Macaca fascicularis: one gene and its partners. The protein of the gene in region 4 purifies or fractionates together with the protein of the main gene of each other region. This does not show direct contact. Links are inferred from orthologs where the notes say so. Each region holds a gene or a part of one and is shown on either strand. Other genes may lie near its edges.

The links. Proteins that work in one complex are often made in the same cells at the same time.
Region 1: the proteins of AMBRA1 (region 4) and NEK9 purify together in Homo sapiens (affinity purification with mass spectrometry; 3 studies listed by BioGRID and IntAct, with this or other methods). This does not show direct contact. The link is inferred for Macaca fascicularis from reciprocal best matches to the Homo sapiens genes AMBRA1 and NEK9.
Region 2: the proteins of AMBRA1 (region 4) and STUB1 purify together in Homo sapiens (affinity purification with mass spectrometry, with the first as the bait; 3 studies listed by BioGRID). This does not show direct contact. The link is inferred for Macaca fascicularis from reciprocal best matches to the Homo sapiens genes AMBRA1 and STUB1.
Region 3: the proteins of AMBRA1 (region 4) and DNAJB1 purify together in Homo sapiens (affinity purification with mass spectrometry, with the first as the bait; 3 studies listed by BioGRID). This does not show direct contact. The link is inferred for Macaca fascicularis from reciprocal best matches to the Homo sapiens genes AMBRA1 and DNAJB1.

Annotation. Positions count from the first base shown.
Region 1 is NC_088381.1:143,074,135-143,078,821, reverse strand, and holds the start of NEK9 (serine/threonine-protein kinase Nek9), read left to right. Parts: upstream 1-1,825; 5' UTR 1,826-1,966; coding exon 1,967-2,185; exon of another isoform or gene 2,186-3,123; intron 3,124-4,650; coding exon 4,651-4,687.
Region 2 is NC_088394.1:1,434,104-1,438,610, forward strand, and holds STUB1 (E3 ubiquitin-protein ligase CHIP), read left to right. Parts: upstream 1-1,645; 5' UTR 1,646-1,767; coding exon 1,768-1,926; intron 1,927-2,270; exon of another isoform or gene 2,271-2,412; coding exon 2,413-2,611; intron 2,612-2,698; coding exon 2,699-2,864; intron 2,865-2,917; exon of another isoform or gene 2,918-3,056; coding exon 3,057-3,144; exon of another isoform or gene 3,145-3,283; coding exon 3,284-3,340; exon of another isoform or gene 3,341-3,427; coding exon 3,428-3,751; 3' UTR 3,752-4,011; downstream 4,012-4,507. UniProt on the Homo sapiens protein: E3 ubiquitin-protein ligase which targets misfolded chaperone substrates towards proteasomal degradation.
Region 3 is NC_088393.1:14,953,300-14,957,799, forward strand, and holds the start of DNAJB1 (dnaJ homolog subfamily B member 1), read right to left. Parts: upstream 2,863-4,500; 5' UTR 2,817-2,862; coding exon 2,606-2,816; exon of another isoform or gene 2,089-2,605; intron 1,519-2,088; coding exon 938-1,518; intron 640-937; coding exon 409-639; 3' UTR 1-408. UniProt on the Homo sapiens protein: Interacts with HSP70 and can stimulate its ATPase activity. Stimulates the association between HSC70 and HIP. Negatively regulates heat shock-induced HSF1 transcriptional activity during the attenuation and recovery phase period of the heat shock response.
Region 4 is NC_088388.1:19,259,144-19,263,898, reverse strand, and holds the start of AMBRA1 (activating molecule in BECN1-regulated autophagy protein 1), read right to left. Parts: upstream 3,003-4,755; 5' UTR 2,917-3,002; exon of another isoform or gene 2,813-2,916; intron 2,758-2,812; exon of another isoform or gene 2,604-2,757; intron 1-2,603. UniProt on the Homo sapiens protein: Substrate-recognition component of a DCX (DDB1-CUL4-X-box) E3 ubiquitin-protein ligase complex involved in cell cycle control and autophagy.

The DNA.
Region 1 (4,687 bases), on a different chromosome or scaffold from region 4:
CACTCACACAGCAAGTTTGGCTTGGACAGATGCCCCTCCTAAATGCCTTTCTAGAATCTTGCACTTTATAGCCCTTATACAAACTGTTTTAATTGCCTGGTGGTTTTCTGTTACATGAATTGTAAGCTCTCTTAAAGTAGAAACTTTTCACAAATCCGTATGACACAATTTATTTTTATGTATTTATTTGAGACAGGTTCTCGCTCTGTTACCCAGGCTCAAGTGCAGTGGCATGATCTTGGCTCACTGCAACCTCCGCCTCCCCGGTTCAAGCAATTCTTGTGTCTCAGCATCCCAAGTAGCTGGGATTACAGGTGTGTGCACACCCGCTAATTTTTGTATTTTTAGTGGAAACAGGGTTTCACCATGTGGGCCAGGCTGGAATCGAACTCCAGGCTTCAAGTGATCGACCCACCTCGGCCTCCCAGAGTGCTGGGATTACAGGCGTGAGCCACCACACCCGGCTAGTCACATGGCTTTCTCTTAGCCCCATCACGTCCTGCTTTTTCAGATTGCTGGGTTTAACTTCCCAGCTCCCTCTTACTAGGTCTGTCACATTAAGCAGGTAACTTAGGTGACTCTGTTTCTGTAAAATGGGAATGTTAGGATAATACATAATACACAGGATAATACATAATAATGTGGGATAATACGTGAAAAACCTTTAGCATAGTACCCAGAACATAACACTCAATAAATGTTAGCTGTTATGTCTGTGATGTAGACCATATTCTCACAACTTTTTATAGAGTTCAAAAACAAGCTTGGAGATGAGAAGTTGCCCAAGGTCACATAACTGATGGAACACCTATTGTTCACCGTATTGCTGTTTTCCTACTTGACGGTAGGGAGCATGTTATTGCAGATCTCCTGTTCCCAAACAGTGTGTGGCACCGAATGCTCAATGTTTCATGAGATCATATGGTCAAAGATCTGGAAAAATCTGAATAAACTGAACCTGGAAAAAGAGACGGGGGAGAAGGAAAGTGTCAGGAAAGTTGACTTAAAATATTTTTGGAGTTGTGTAGAAGAGGGAGGGACTTAGGATGGCTCTGGGAGAAAGAACTGGAACCAGGGACTGAGATGACAGGAGGCGGACATTTAGGCTGTCTATATTACTTTTTTTTTTTTTTTTTTTTGAGACAAAGTCTTGCTCTGTCATCCAGGCTGGAGTGTAGTGGCGCGATCTCGGGTCGCTACAACCTCCTCCTTCCATTCAATTGATTCTCCAGCCTCAGCCTCTCAAGTAGCTGGGATTACAGGTGCCTGCCACCACGCCTGGATAATTTTTGTATTTTTATAGAGACGCGGTTTCACCAGTTGGCCAGGCTGGTCTCAAACGCCTGACCTCAGGTGATCCGCCCACCTCGGCCTCCTAACATGCTGAGATTACAGGCGTAAGCCACCTTGTCCGGCCATATTATCTTTACTATACTATCTTTCTAAAAAAGAATGCTGTCCAACGTTGAAAGGTGAAAGAAGGTGTACACTGGGAATGCTTCCCCAATCACCCTCTTGTCACAGACCTGAGGTCAAGATGAGACTGGACGACCTCTGAACCTCGAAGTTGTATGGGGACCGGACCAGGGAGGCAGAGGAGGGTAAAGAGACCCGAGAGGCCGTACTGTCAGTGATGCCCTTGTTCCCGTGGGAGCCCTTCGGTTCCACGCAGTTCCCACCACGCGCCCGCCAATCCCAGCCCGAAGCCTCACTTAGCAGGCCTTCCCCGAAAGCGGGAAGCCTTGGCCGCTAGACTAGCCAAGCTGGCAAGCAAAGGCGGGGGAAACTCAGCCGGGCCGGAAACACAGAGAACTGCTTCCGGGTCAGGGGGAAGGAGCCACCATGGAGCTTCGCGGGGTTGCTGGGCTGACGGTTCCGCGGGCCGGCATCTGAAGCGAGCGGGACGCAGCGCGGCTAGCGCCTCCGGCCATACGCAGGCCGGTCCCGAAGGCCCGCGGTCGCCGCCATGTCGGTGCTGGGCGAGTACGAACGACACTGCGATTCCATCAACTCGGACTTTGGGAGCGAGTCCGGGGGTTGCGGGGACTCGAGTCCGGGGCCTAGCGCTAGTCAGGGGCCGCGAGCCGGCGGCGGCGCGGCGGAGCAGGAGGAGCTGCACTACATCCCTATCCGCGTCCTGGGCCGCGGCGCCTTCGGGGAAGCCACGCTGTACCGCCGCACCGAGGTAGCGGCCCTCGGCACCTGCCGTCCTGTCTGGCGCTGTCGGGTCGCCCCGAGTCCTTTCTTCCCGGCCCCGCTTTCTCAGCGTCGTGAGCTTAGTGCTTTAGGCGCCCACAGGATATATGTGTCAGGGTCTTCACCGCTCTTCCCACTCATCGGCACTAGAAATTGGCAAGATCATTGGTTTGACTAGTCATTTTTGATTGGCCTAAGTCACCTAACCGTCTCTGAGCTTTAGCATCCCCATCTGTAAAATGGGCTTACTGATAATACCTTGAAATCATCCTTTTTTTTTTTTAAGATTATCTTGAGAATGAAACGAAGGCGCTTGTTCTGTAAATTAAAGTGGTATACGAATGTGAGGTATTGCCAAAACTTCCTTCCCCTCATGCTGTATATATAGTTCTCCAAGGTCGGGGTGAGGAGGACGGGCATAGCTTCAAAATCCCCACACCGGTGGCACCTCCGTAGTTTGTGTCATTATCTTTAAGTTCAGCTGTGATCACTCAGTTGGAAGCTTTTCTTGAAGCTCATTGGGAAGATCTTTGTGTGTTGGTTCTTTATCAGTGTTTATCCTACAGGGTTTATGCATGGGAAGTACTCTGTTGGTATATTCTAAGCCATTAGTTCTTAATTTGGGGGGCACAAGGACCCCTTTGAGAACCTAACATAAGCAAAGTAATCTTACCCCCTCCATCAACACATTTGCACATAGGCACATCCTTTGGAGAGATCCATGGATCACGGAATCCCAAGTTAAGAATATATACTAGTGTAAAACCCTGCAGTGATGATTCTACTTCCAAAAACTAACGATATACTGGTTTTGATCATAAAATCTTACTTTAGGGTAAACATTTAATGAGAACTTGCTGGGGTTGCCGAAAGTGATCCATCCATCTGCAGTTCTGGTGTGTGTTCCAAGCCAGCATACTTTTAAGGCTGAAAGATGGAGAAGGAGAGAAGTGGTTGCAAGAAAATATTTTTAAGTGTTCTTTTTTATCCTGAAGCCACGTTAATGTATGATGTTAGGGTTATTCTTAGTAGTCTGTTTTCTTTTTTGCACTCAAATGAGAAAGAGGAGATAAGGATTGTTATTTCTATATTTTAGTTAGAGAAACTAAGACAGTATACTTAAGTCACTTGCTCACTTAAGTTATAAGTAAATCTTGGACTAGAACTAAAGTCTCACATCTTGCCCATTGCCTTTTTATTATTATCCTGTTGAACTTGATTACTGGATTTGTTTTGAGTTAAATTTGATTACACTTCTCAAAAATTGCATAGCGTTATCCATATCACCAAATATTTATTAGGTCTGTGAATTTACAGAAGTTCAGAAGCACTCTTTTCCTCTAGAAGCTTATATTTCAATAGGAAAAGTTGGCCATTGTTAGTAAACACATAGCATTAAGTTGTATATGTAGAGATATGAAAAGAATGGACAAATATTTCAGTGTATGGGGTCTAAAAATTAAAGGCATGGTTACAGTAAAAGGTTCATCAGAGTCTTTTCAAAAACATTGTAAAGGCTTGGCAGAGGCATTCAAAAGGATGGGGAGGGTTACATTGGTGGAGATGCTCCTGGGCTGGGAAGCAGTGTCAGCAAAAAATGAGGCCAGGCACAGTGGCTCATGCCTGTAATCCCAACACCTGGGAGGCCAAGGTGGTCAGGTCGCTTGAGGCCAGGAGTTCTAGACCAGCCTGGGCAACACAGTGATACTCCATCTCTTAAAAAAAAAAAAAAAAAAAAAAAAAATTTAGCTGAGTGTGGCAGTGCAATGCCTGTAGTCCTAACTACTGGGGAAGCTGAGGTAGGAGGATTGCTTCAGCCCAGGAGTTCAGAGCAGAAATGAGCTATGACTGCACTCTATCTCAAAAAAAAAAAAAGATGGTAGACATCAGGAGCTACAGGTAAGTTTTCAGGAATGGAAGAAAATGTGATACATAAAAGTGTGAGAGATTATAGAGTTGCAAAAGGGGGCATGACTTATCCAGAAAGGGTAAGTCTAAATTTATAAAACTAGGGAAGTCTAAATTTATAAAACTAGAGGCAAGTTTAGTATTTTCATTTTAGAAGCTGTGACCAACTATAGATAATTGCTCCCCAGTTCTCTACCTCTCAAGTATTCTTGCCCTGCCATAATCACCATCATGATTAGCAGTCTGTCATAGTATCCTCAATAGAATCTTTTTGAGACCTATGCCCAGCCCATATTTTTACCTGGAACTGACATCATGCAAATTGAGTGTGACGACGACGTCGTAATGCTTTACTTCCCCTGTCCTGTGATAAATTATAATGCTAAATTGTACACATAACCTTTGAAGTCTGTTAAAAGGAAAAAATAAGAGGAGTCAGTCTCTGCTCCTCTTAGGTAGTTTTGCTTCTAGGCTTACAAATCTAGGTGTGGATTCATTTGCTGCCAGGCAAGAGGAAAAGCACGATACCTCTGTTACTGTGTTTAGGATGACTCACTGGTTGTGTGGAAGGAAGTTGATTTGA
Region 2 (4,507 bases), on a different chromosome or scaffold from region 4:
GGCCTGGACTATAGCCAAGTTCACTCGGCCTGGGTCCCATGCTTCTTGGCTGGCCTAGTGTCCACGTGGGTGGCCAGGCTGGGGCCAAGGTTGGGCAGCAGGTCTGGGCACAGCCTTTGCCCCACGGCCCAGGTCCACAGTGCTGTCTCCACTAGGTGGGGAGCACACAGACTCAGGCCCAGGGGCACGGGCCACCCCAGCCTGCCCACACACAGTTCGTTCACCTTGGCTCAGAGCTGTGGCCCACTCTTGAACCTGGCCCAGGTACAGCAGGTAGTACCTGAGGGTGTACTGTGGGGCCGGCAGGCCGGGCACTGTGACCACTGCCTCATCTGACATGAAGGCCTCCATCTCGAGCTCCAGGCACCAGGACTGCTGTGAGCAGCGAGGAGAAGCAGCCAGACACCCCATCAGGACAAGCTCTGGCTCCGACTCCTGGTCCTAGAGACACACAAGGGCCCAGACTGTCTGCTTCACAGACAAGGACGCTTATGTACCCAAGTCGTGCCCACCCAACTCACCTGAGGCTGTGACTGTGGTGGGTCCACACCGCAGAGGGCAGACAGCTGGGTGACCGCGGCCCCCACATCTGGCAGGAGGCAGAAGGTGGTGGTCGAACAGTGCACAGCCAGCTCAGGGGGATTGGTGGTCACCAGATGCTGTGAGAAGCCAGGTCAGGGTGCCCGGCGTGGTGGACCCACAGGGAGGCCCCGCCCCCACGAAGACCCGCTCTGGAGGCCCCGCCCCGCCGATGCCACGCCCCGATGAAGACCCGCCCTACGGAGGCCCCGCCCTCGAGGCGGGCCGCACCTCGCCGCCAGCTTCCAGGCCAGCAGCCGCTCCAGCTCCCTGTCACATGCTCTCCGCTCTGCCCCTGATGGCCGCTGGCAACTCCTCCCGATACCTGGGGAAGGGCGGTGAGGGGAGGTCCGGCCACAGGGTACGCTCGCCCACCGATCCCTTTATCCCCTTCCACTCTACCAACGGCCCAGGGCTTCCAGCCGCACTCGGGGGTCCGCGCGCACCCGTAGGACCTCTCGATGGCGCTCCGGAATGGCGGCCCAGCGACTGCGGTCCTTACACCCAACAGCGCGGGAAGCCACTATGTTCACGCGGAGGGGCGGGGCCGGCTGCCGGGGGCGGGGCCGGCTGCTGGGGGCGGGGCTTCTGCGTAGGGGCTGGCTGCTGGGGGCGGGGCCTCTGGGTGGGGCGGCCTGTTGGGGGCGGGGCGTCTGCCGATGGGGCGGGCTGCTGGGGGCGGGGCTGGCTGCCGGGGGAAGGGCCTCTGGATGGGGCCCGCTGCTTGGGGAGGGGTCTCTGCGCGTTGCGGCGGGGGCGGAACGCCAGGTGGTCGGGACAGGCTGTTGGGGGAGTGCGCCCTCAGCGAACCAAGGCATCTCACTGGGAAAGTCGAATGTGTGTGGCGGTCGCCGCCGAGGCCGGTTCCGAAGAGGCCTCAGCAGGGCGGGCCAGGGCCTCCGCGAACGCCGACCCTTAAGAGCGCCGAGCGAGGGAACCGGAGTGTTCCTCCCAGCCCCCGACGCCGCGGGCCTAGCGTCCCCGTCCAGGCTGATTGGGCGCACGCGCGGCCCCACTCGCCCCCACCCGTGCGTCCCCGCTGGTCCCGCCCCCGGCCGGAAGTTCCGGCGGTGGAGCTGGGCCGGGCCCGAGAGGATCGCGGGTTCGGGCTGCGGGGCTCGGGCTGCAGGCGCTGGGCCGCCAGGCGCGGAGCTTGGGAGCGCAGCCCAGGCCGTGCCGCGCGGCGCCATGAAGGGCAAGGAGGAGAAGGAGGGCGGCGCGCGGCTGGGCGCTGGCGGCGGAAGCCCCGAGAAGAGCCCGAGTGCGCAGGAGCTCAAGGAGCAGGGCAACCGTCTGTTCGTGGGCCGAAAGTACCCGGAGGCGGCGGCCTGCTACGGCCGCGCGATCGTGAGTGCGCTCGCGCGGGAAGGGCGGCGGCGGCGGCGGCGGCGGCGGCGGCGGCGCCGGGGAGGGCCGGGCCCGTGCCCGGCTGGCCCCACCGAGGGTCTGGTTCCTCTGCGGGGCATGTCCTGGGCTCCTAAAGCCCAGCCGTGGTTCCCGAGCCCAGCGCCGGGTGTCGGAGAACGAGGGTGGGATGCTGGATGGAGGCCGGCCGGGTCGGGGGGAGGGCAGGGGCCCTCGCCCCTTGAGGCTCCCAGGTCCAAAGCCTGGACTCTCCAAAGATTTGGAAAACTTTACAAAACCAAGTGGAGTCAAGCGGATAGGCTCAGCCAGTACTCCACTGTCTGCAGATCCTTGGATCCAGGGGCTTTGACGACTGAGAAGCCTAGTTTCTTGATTCTAGCCAGAGCGCAGAAGCTGGGACGGGCCGTGGGACAGAGGGGGCGCGCTGAGCCTACACCCTCATGCGGCTGGCCCGGCCTTGGTCCCTAGACCCGGAACCCGCTGGTGGCCGTATATTACACCAACCGTGCCCTGTGCTACCTGAAGATGCAGCAGCACGAGCAGGCCCTGGCCGACTGCCGGCGCGCCCTGGAACTGGACGGGCAGTCTGTGAAGGCGCACTTCTTCCTGGGGCAGTGCCAGCTGGAGATGGAGAGCTATGATGAGGCCATCGCCAATCTGCAGCGAGGTTGGCTGACAAGCTGCCCGGTTGTGGGGCCCCTGGGGCCAGGCGGGTGGACTGGCCAGAGAGTGACCTGAAGCCCCCGTTCCCCAGCTTACAGCCTGGCCAAGGAGCAGCGGCTGAACTTCGGGGACGACATCCCCAGCGCTCTTCGAATCGCGAAGAAGAAGCGCTGGAATAGCATCGAGGAGCGGCGCATCCACCAGGAGAGCGAGCTGCACTCCTACCTCTCCAGGCTCATTGCCGCGGAGCGTGAGAGGTGGGACCCTCACCCCAGGTCGCCCTGTCTTGGGGTAATTCTGAATCACCAACTACCAACATGAGCGTTTATTGAAGGTTTTACTGGCGAGCAGAAAACGTGGGGAAGAAGCATGAATGTTAGCCCTGAGGTTGGGGTGTGGTCAGACATCTGGCCAGGTCCATCTCTTACTGGCTCCTGGTCAACCCCCAGGGAGCTGGAAGAGTGCCAGCGGAACCACGAGGGTGATGAGGACGACAGCCACGTCCGGGCCCAGCAGGCCTGCATTGAGGCTAAGCATGTGAGGGTGCCCCCCTCCCACATGTGGGTCTGTGTGTGTGCACCTGGCGTGGGAGCATCCCCGCCTTGTGTTGGGTCTGTGCCCCATGGAGGAGGGAGGTGGGGTGTCCCGCACAAGTGCAGTGCTCAACTCTTCACAGGACAAGTACATGGCAGACATGGACGAGCTCTTCTCTCAGGTGGACGAGAAGAGGAAGGTGAGTGTCTGTCACTTGCTGCGGTGGGTGGCAGGTGCTGGAGCAGTGCCCCTTCCCAGCCTCTGATCGTGTGCCCCTGTGCCACAGAAGCGTGACATCCCCGACTACCTGTGTGGTAAGATCAGCTTTGAGCTGATGCGGGAGCCGTGCATCACGCCCAGTGGCATCACCTACGACCGCAAGGACATCGAGGAGCACCTGCAGGTGAGGCTGCGGCTGGGGGAGCAGGGCCAGCAGCATGGTCCTGGGCCCACTGACTGCCCTCTGCCCTTCTTGTCACTGCAGCGCGTGGGTCATTTTGACCCCGTGACCCGGAGCCCCCTGACCCAGGAACAGCTCATCCCCAACCTGGCCATGAAGGAAGTCATTGACGCATTCATCTCTGAGAATGGCTGGGTGGAGGACTACTGAGATGCCTTGCCCTGCCCAGCATCCTGGTCCAGGAGAGCCCTGGGCGGAAGCCCTCCACCCCTGTACATAGTTTGTGTTGCTGGCCACCCTGGCCCCTTCCAAGTTCAAGTTCTGCTGTTGGGCTCTGGACTATTCCCCCTCTCAGCATAGCTCTTGCTGGGCCATGATTGTCCCCCTTTGTGGGCTGGAAAAGCAGGTGAGGGTGGGCTGGGCTGAAGCCACTGCCGACACTGTCTGTGTAATAAAATCCATGAGCACGAGATGGGACGTGCTGGTGTGTGGCAGGCATGCCTGCCAGCTGCTTTGGCTAGCCGAGGAAGGTGGAGATGAAGACGCTGGTGTCAAGGTTGAGTGTGGCATGCCACCAGCGGTCAGGGAAGTACAGCACCTGGTGGAGAAAAGGGGTGCAGCACAGATTAGCTGGGGGCCTCTGGCCTGGCCTGGCCCTCTCCTGCCAGCCACTGACCTCACCAGCCCGGATGGTACACTCCAGGGGCCGTGCAGACGGTGGCAGGGCTGGATATGTGTCCCGGAGCCAGGCCAGCGTGGTCTTGTTGGGGTGGAACTCTGGTGTCTTCTCAGGTGGGTAGAGGAACCAGCGCTGGGGGCAGGAGCAGCAGCGTCACCCTTGCCTGTTTTGGTCACCGAGCCCCAAGGCTCAACCCCAACCCTGTGCTGACCTTACGGCCGTAGATCACCTCCGAGTACCCGGGCCCATGCCAGTGGAAGGGCACCCCCGAGCCAGCTCCTGTGGGG
Region 3 (4,500 bases), on a different chromosome or scaffold from region 4:
ACAACAGAAAACAGAGGAGTGTACAGGGTCTGGGAACCAAGACAGCAGGTCGACATTATCTACCAGTCAAAAGCAAAGGGACACAGAGGGATCAAGTCCAGCTGCTGGTCTGCCTCTACCCCTGGACAGGGACTGGAGGAGGAGGATGTGGGCCCATCCCGGGAGGGCTGCCGGACCCAGTGGGGCAGACTGGAATGCCTTTTCCTGCTGTTCCCACCACCTGATGCCCTATCGCTCGAAAAACCACTTTAGTCTAGTGTACGACTTTGAAAGATTGTAATATATGCTCTGGAAAACATTCAGCAGTATGAAAGTCCTCCCTGGGCCCTCCCATGGTCCACAATTGGTAGAAAGGTCCAGAAATCCTTGAGCTCTGGAAAGGTCCCTGGTCAGTCGGAGCTCTGGCAGCTATATTGGAAGGACCTGCTCAAGTACGGTTCTTGATGTCTGGGGAATCCTTTCGGGGAAGATCACTTCAAATTCAATAATGAGGTCCCCACGTTTCTCGGGCGTTTTGGGGAGGGGGAGGCCTTCTCCAGGAACTTTTCGGCGCATGCCAGGCCTGATGACATCTTTGAATACGACGGGTATGGTCCTGCCGTCCAGAGTGGGGACGTTCACTGTGCAGCCACACAGAGCCTTGAAAAGCAAAGGGATAAGCATTAGATGGAAGCTGGCTCAAGAGGCTCAGCTCTTGCCCGGAGACCATCTGGCATAGAGTAAGACTCATCAGGCCTCTGCAGCCAACACCTGGCCCCCAAATCGACATGTCTCCACCATGAAAGCTCCAGAACAGCACCCTGATCAGTCCTGTTCACTGTGGTGCCCCAAGCCTGGCAAGCGCCACACACCCAATGCGTGTTCAGCAAAACCTAAATAAACTGCTTCAAAGAGCAGCCATCGCGCTCTGCAGACACCGCCCCACCTGGCACCTTACCTCCCGGAGGCTGATCCTGGCAGGATAAATCACATCAGAGCCATCTCTCTTAAAGATATTGTGTGGCTTGTCCTTTAAAACAAAGACGATATCAGCTGGAATGTTGTTGGAGGTCTGGTCTCCTTCCTTGGGGAAGGTGATTTTGGTCCCTTCTTTCCACCCCTTCTTCACTTCGATGGTCAAGATTTTGTCTTCGTTTCGAATGCTCTTTCCGTCGGGGTTTAGCCGCTTGTGGGAGATTTTCATCTTCTTGGTACAACCGCTGTAGATCTCTTCAAGGGAGACTCGAAGGTCGTGGGTGACTGGGGGATCTTGCTTCTTTCGGGTGGGCTCTTGGGAAGGGCGGGAGCGGCCAAAGTTCACGTTGGTGAAGCCACCCATGCCCATAGGGAAGCCAGAGAACGGGTCATCAATGTCCATGCCTTCCTCCCCGTTCCGCTGCCCAAAAAAGGTGTCAAAGGGATTTCTGCCACCGAAGAACTCAGCAAACATGGCATGAGGGTCTCCATGGAACGTGTAGCTGAAAGAGGTACCATTGGCACCACTGCCGCTACCGCCACTGGGGCCACTGCCCTTTAGGCCTGAAAAGCAGAATTAGAAGCAGTCAGATGGCTGAACAGCAGACTCCCTCTCGAGCTTCCCTTACGGGGGAAAAAAGCTTGGAGGCCATGGGGGAGGAACTTTTTTTAGCCTGCCAGGGGAGAGCAAGGAAGAACCCCAAGCTTCTACCCCTCACTGCAGCAGCAGAGCTGCCCCCCCCCCCAAGTACTTCCGCATAGCCTGACAATGGAAAAGGACTCATGCGGTTAGGTGTCCACCTACAGGTGCCACCTGGGCCCTGCCACTCCTGGACTGACCCATCCTCCTGGCAATGTCACCAAGGGATGGCTAAACACACACGGTCCAGGGTCGGCTTTCGGTATTTACTTTCAACATTTTAGGACTACTGATGTGTACGAAAAGTGAAAATAAGGAAAAAAAAAAGATGTAGAGTTTTTAAACCCTCACACTAGCATTCACTGCCACCATCCTTGCATAATAAGTCAGTCCCAGATCAAGCCCAGAAGCCAGCCTGAGTCATCAAGGGGCACAGGGACAAAAAGCCCCACTCTCCGTCCCCCCAAACCCCCAGGCGGCCCAGCTCTCCGCACCTAGGCGGCCGCTGCCTCCTGCGTGCTCGGCCGGGACCAGGTCATCACTTCCCGGAAATCATCCCAGCCCAGCCCCAAGGCCCGCGAGCGGGATCGGCGCCTGCATTTACAGCCCCGCGCCCCGCAGCTGAGCCGCAGGCGCCGCCCTGCGGACCCCGGCGGCTAAGCCCAGGTGAGCTCGGGTCCGCAGCAGGCTCCGCCGTGCCGTTCCCGTCGTCACCCCCGGCTCCCCCACCCCCCTGCACCGCACCCCGGGGCTGCTCGGGGCCGCGGGAAGAGGCGCCCGGGGAGGGGCAGCCCTAGACATGCTAGAAGCTTCTGGGCGAGCGGCTGGGCCAAGGCTCCTCCCCGCACCGCACGGCCGCCAATCCAAGGGCGGAGGCCCGAGCGGCCGGAGGGCGGGGCAGCTCGGCCCCCGGGCCCGGGGCGTCCTTCCCGGGGGGCCGCCGAGAGGGGCCGGTATGCCTCGGTTTCCCTGTCAAACGGCGGGACCGCGCCCCTGGCCGCGCGCACACACCTTCCTCTCCGTAGCGGTCGAAGATCTCGCGCTTGCGCGGGTCGCTGAGCACGTCGTAGGCCTCGGCGATCTCCTTGAACTTCTCCTCGGCGCCGGGCTCCTTGTTCTTGTCCGGGTGGTAGCGCAGCGCCTGGCGGCGGTAGGCCCGCTTGATCTCCTCATCCGACGCGCCGCGGGCCAGGCCCAGCGTCTGATAGTAGTCTTTGCCCATGGCCCCCCGCTGCGGCCCGCCGACCCGCTGTCGCCGTCCCCCGGCTACGCCGCCGCCCGGTCCCGGACTCTATATACCCGTCCGGCGGAAGCTTCCAGAGCCCGCCAGCCCCCTCCAGAACCTTCCGCCCCGCCCCCCCGCCCGCGGCGCCGGCCAATCGCCGCCACCCTTTCCGTGACACGCGACATCCGGGGCGGCGCTTTGCCGTCAACGGCCGCCGGCGCGGGGCCACGCCCCCTCCCGCTCCGCCCTCGACAACGCCTCCCGGCGGCGCGCGCACAGGTCGGAGGAGGCCCCGCCCACCTTCCGGGACGAGCCAATCGCGAGCTTCTTTCACACTCTGCACCGCCCCAGCGACCCTGCGTCCCGCCCTCCGCCTGGGTCAGTGGGTCAGGAGCCGTCGCGAAGGTGATGTTCCGGGAAGGGGTGGGGCCTGGGACTAGCCTGTCTTTTCCCCAGGAGGTGATAAACCTTCCAGCCCTTGTCTCGCGGGACCTGCGGTGGGCCTCCGCCGGGTGACGCCGGACGAACAACCTAACCCGCGTCTGCTTAACCCAGGGGTCTCTTTCTTTCTACAATATGGCAATAAGAGAACCTGACACGGAGCCTCACGACTGTAATTTCCATCACTTCCTGAGGCCAAGACAGGAGAATCTCTCGGGCCTAGGAGTTTGAGACCAGCCTAGGCAACATAAGCAGACTCCGTTTCTTTTTAAAATAAACAAACAGGCCGGGCGCGGGGGCTCACGCCTGTAATCCCAGCATTTTGGGAGGCCGAAGTGGGCGGATCACTTGAGGTCAGGAGTTCGAGACCAGCCTAGCCAACATGGTGAAATCCCGTCTCTGCTAAAAATACAAAAATTACCCGGGCGTGGTGGCACGCACCTGTAATCCCAGCTACTCAGGAGGCTGAGGCCTGAGAATAGCTTGAATCGGGGAGGCGGAGGTTGCAGTGGGCCGAGATCGGGGCACTGCACTCCAGCTTGGGCGACAGAGCGAGACTCCGTCTCAAAATAAAATAAATAAATAAGTAAAATAAAACAAAATGAACAAACAAAGAATCCACCAGCGCTATTTTCCCAACTGTGGGGAGAAGGATGTTGGGACAGAAGACTGCCTCTGTTCTCCCTTCCTAAAGCGAGGTGAGGATCTGGGCGAAAGCTCACCTCCCGAGGTCCTCTCAGTCCCGCCTTTTTCACTTTACTGCCCTTTCAAGAGCACTTGCTGCTAAATTAGAAATTTATTTTGTTTCTTGGCTTTCAATGTGTCCTCCCTCCCAGTCTGAGATCGCCACCTGAGCAGGGGCCAGGTCCTGTCTGCATTGGGTCTCCAGTGCCTGGAATGCAGTGAGAACCTCATAAATATTCCCCGTTCTTTTTTTTTTTTTTTTTTTTTTTTTGAGACGGAGTCTCGCTCTGTAGCCCAGGCTGGAGTGCAGTGGCCGGATCTCAGCTCACTGCAAGCTCCGCCTCCCGGGTTCACGCCATTCTCCGGCCTCAGCCTCCCGAGTAGCTGGGACTACAGGCGCTGCCACCTCGCCCGGCTATTTTTTGTATTTCTTAGTAGAGACGGGGTTTCACCGTGTTAGCCAGGATGGTCTCGATCTCCTGACCTCGTGATCCGCCCATCTCGGCCTCCCAAAGTGCTGGGATTACAGGCTTGAGCCACCGCACCCGGCCAATAT
Region 4 (4,755 bases):
ATTAAGTTGATAAGCTCTATCCCTGTAACCTCCCATCAACACCACCAAATTTCTTGACCTCAATTCACCTTAAGCCTCTGCCAATTATTTCCTGCAGAAACATAATAAAATATTCCTAAGATTGCTTCAAGACACTCACAGCAATTTCCATTTGTTATTTAGCATTCATTAGGAGTCAATGAGATATTCTTTATAACTCTAAATTCTACACAGAACTTATCAATTCCCAGTGGACAATGTTGCTTTCTTCTCTACATTCTTTTATCTGATATACATTCTCTTCTACCATAAAAACTTTTTCAAAAATGCACATTCTTAGCTTATCCCCAATCTAGATTCTCCATAAAGATAGTCTGGTGGCTCTTCATTAATCCCTTTCTGGGAGCACTGAGGTCGTGTAACTAGGAAATTGCTCATGATTAAGGGCCATTCATTTAAATCTTGCTGACCTCACACAAAAAATTAAAGGAACAGTAATCTTTCCAAAACTTATACAAGAATACTAAAATAGTGGGAGAATGTAGCCTTGTACAGTCTCCACTCAAGGACTAGGAACTGAATCTCTATACCCTTAAAACCACTCTCTTGGCCGGGCGCGGTGGCTCATGCCTGTAATCCCAGCACTTTGGGAGGCCAAAGCAGGTGGATCACGAGGTCAGGGGTTCAAGACCAGCCTGGCCAAGATGGTGAAACCCCATCTCTACTAAAAATACAAAAAATTAGCCAGGTGTGGTGGTGGTGCCTGTAATCCCAGCTACTCGGGATGCTGAGGCAGAGAACTGCTTGAACCTGGGAGGCGGAGGAGGTCGTAGTGAGCTGAGATAGCGCCACTGCACTCCAGCCCGGGGGGCAAAGCAAGACTCTGTCTCAAAACAAACAAACAAACAAACAAACAAAAAACACCCTCCTACTGATTCTACATACTTTGGAAACTTATCCAACCCAGAATGACCTCAAGACTGATTTTTTTTTTTTTTTTTTTTTTTTTTTTTTTTTTTTTGATACAGAGTTTGGCTCTTGTTGCCCAGGCTGGAGTGCAATGATGTGATCTCGCTCATGGCAACTTCTGCCTCCTGGATTCAAGTGATTCTCCTGCCTTACCCTCCCGAGTAGCTGGGATTACAGGCATGCACCACCACGCCCGGCTAATTTTGTATTTTTAGGTTTCTCCACATTGGTCAGGCTGGTCTCGAACTCCCAACCTCAGGTGATCCACCCGCCTTGCCCTCCCAAAATGCTGGGATTACAGGTGTGAGCCACTGCACCCGGCAGGCTGATATTTTTTTTCCCCCAACAAAGAAGTGACACAAATTAGGATCATGACACTGAATCCGATGAAAATGAGAGACTTAGTCCCCAACCTTTCCAAGTTGGGAAGGAAAAGAGAACCACAAAGGAGTTTCATTTAAATATCTCAATATTTGAATGATTTCTACATACAGCCTTTTTTAGCTTTTGTATGTGCAGTGACCAAACTAGTAATCAAATATAACAAAACTGGGCGGGCGCGGTGGCTCATGCCTGTAATTCCAGCACTTTGAGAGGCCGAGGTGAGCGAATCACTTGAACCCAGGAGTTCAAGACCAGCCTGGCCAACGTGATGAAACCCCACTTTACTACAAATACAAAAATTAGCCGAGTGTGGTGGCGCGCGCCTGTAGTTCCAGCTAGTCAGGAGACAGAGGCAGGGGAATCGCTTGAACCCGGGAGGCAGAGGTTGCAGTAAGCCAAGATTGCGCCACTGCACTCCAGTTTGGGCGACAGAGCGAGACTGTCTTAAAAAAAAAAAGAGAGAGAGAGAGAGACTCCTTGGGTTTCCTTTGGATACTCCCCAGAAAGCAGACCCTCATACAGGACAAGCGTTTGCCTTCAAAGTCTTGACCATCCTCTACTAGACTAACCACAAACACCATAGTTGTTAAGATTTCCAAAGAGGCTGGGGAGAAGGAGGATAAACCAACCAGGAAACAATGTAGACAACAAGGTTATCAGGAAACAAAGTAGGCAACAAGGTTATCAAGAAACAAAAAGAAACTGTCATTGCTACACTAGCTAAAATGATACAGACTTTGAAAAGCTAAACAGCCAAGAAACCACATGGTTCCTTTACTTCTGAAGCCTCTAGTGACACGATTTGTATTCCTAACAGTCTATATTCCTAGGAAAAGAGGGATCACAGGCGATCAAACAACAACTCACTGTTTTCATAATTTGACTGGTAACTGGGGGAAAGGGAACTGGTAAATGACAAAAAGTGACTTACAGTGCATTTAATGATCTGTTGGGGATATGGGGGGAAGTCACGTCCCAGACATCAGCCTCAGTTTCCCCACCCAAAAAAGGCGAGAACATGACACTTCGCTCCGAGGAGCCAGAGGACCTTGTTCCATACGCCTCCACCTACTCAAAGGTCCCTTCAAACGCTGGACTCAGTAGGGGTCCCCAGTTCAACTGAGGCATGACACCCGGAGACTTCGGGGTGGGGGGAAAGGATAAAGGAAGGAAGGTCAAAGTGCGCAAAGCTCTGTCGGTTCCTGGAAAGCCATTTTCCCCACACACTGGGGGTGCCCTAGACCCAACATCTCCTCCCAAAAGAACCACACCGGGAAGCCCCAGCATCTCTCCCTCCTTCCGGCTTCTCCCTCGGTTCCGGGCTGCCCCTCCGGCCGCGCCCCTCAACGCAGTCCGGTAGCCCCTCCTCTGGCAGTGTCACGGCGGCCGGCCCGCCTGCCCACCCGCCGGCGCCAAGGTCTTCTCAACCCCGCGGCGGAAGGATGCCGGGCTGGGCCTCCCAGGCTCCTCCTGGGCCTACCTGCAAGACAGACGGGAGCTCGGTTTGCAGTCCAGCGGACAAGCTGAGCCACAGGGAAAAAGAAGGAGGAGGCACGAATAAAGCAAAGGGTCCGTTCTACCGACCGGCAGGAGAAGGCGGCTTGAGCGCGGGGCCTCGCGGATAACTCAGTCCTCAACCCGGCGCCGCCGCCGCTCAGGAGACATCAAGCAAGAAGACGGCGCAAAAGATCACCGAATACAAGAACGCCCCAGACATCAAAGGAGGAACGCCCAAGCAATCGTTCAAGGAACCGCAGCCGAGCGCCGAAAAGCAGCTCAACTCCTACTCAAGGTCCGGCTCCTGTCCGAGGCATAAATAAACAAGCCCAGATCATAAGCCACAGGGTAAAAAAGAGCCTGCGCTTCTGCCATTTTCTGTGGGTCGCCGGCAGTTAAGGTTGTTTAGAGAACTGTAGTTTCTCGTGAATGTGTTGAAGATCAAATCATAGCGCAATAACACTTGTTGTCTATAGCCCCACGACTGTTTTATGGACTCCCAACACTCTTTATCCCAATTGAGCAAATTACTTAACCTCATTTGACCTTTGGTTTCCTAACAGAACAGTGAGGGGAATTAAAAATCGTAGAGAAAGAAAACGAGAGAGAATTCAGGCTGAGGAACAAAATGAACAGTCTACGTAAAAGCTCCAGTGTAGCCCCCACAAAGCATGACCAAAAGAAGCTGGGAAAACCCAGAATTTTGTAGCCTGACCATAAGGCGGGGGTGGGGGGAAAAGTACACGGATTGCTTTTCTCTTTTATTTTCTTCCAAAGGCCTAGAGCCACAGGTGTGCTTCTTACATAATAAGCAAAAGTCTCTTTGGGTTCAGAACCTGATAAAGTGTTGACATTTTCATCATTACAACAATGGCTTTTTCCTGTAGTCTCTTAGTTGATAAATGAATATGCTCAGCACAAATATGAATTAATATGTACATCCTAGGTATGATTCAATAAATCACAAAGATCACTGCAAGTATGGTTACCAAGTGTGCGCAATCATAGTCTACCTTACATCCTCCTAGGGAGGTTTACACCCTTCCCCACTACTTAGGAAGGGTGTAAAAAGGAAACAAGATAGTCCCAGTTTGGTCGGACGCAGCGGCTCTCGTCCATAATTCGAGCACTTTAGGAGACCAGGCTGGTGGATTGCTTTGAGCCCAGGAGTTCAAGACCAGCCTGGGCAACATGGTGAGACTCCAGCCTCTACGAAAAAAAAAAAATACAAAAAGTTAGCCGGGCCTGGTGGCTCCCGCCTGTAGGCCCAGCTGCTCAGGAAGCTAAGATGAAAGGATATCCTGAGCCCAGGAGGTGGAGGCTGCAATGAACCATGATCATACCATTGCCTGATCTATGGAACAAGACCCTGCCTAAAAAAAATTTTTAAAGGCCGGACACAGTGACTCACGCCTGTAATCCCAGCACTTTGGGAGGCCGAGGCAGGTTGATCACGAGGTCAGGAGTTTGAGACCAGCCTGGTCAAGATGCTGAAACCCCGTGTCTACTAAAAATACAAAAATTAGCCGGGTGTGGTGGTGGGCGCCTGTAATCCCAGCTATTCGGGAGGCTGGGGCAGCAGAATCGCTTGAACCCGGGAGGTGGATGTTGCAGTCAGCAGAGATCGTGCCACTGCACTCCAGCCTGGGTGACAGAGCAAGACTCCGTCTCAAAAAAAAAAAAAAAAAAAAAAAAAAGTTCCAGCCTTTAAAGACTTTAAAATCAAAGAGCACATCCTTACAGTATGAGCCTTTTTAAAATAATGTATTGCCACTTTACAAAAATCTCCTCTAAGTCTTTGAAAATACTGGCCAGGCCGGGCGCAGTGGCTCATGCCTTTAATCCCAGCACTTTGGGAGGCCGAGGTGGGCAGATCATTAGGTCAGGAGATTGAGACCATCCTGGCTAACACAGTGAAACCCCGTC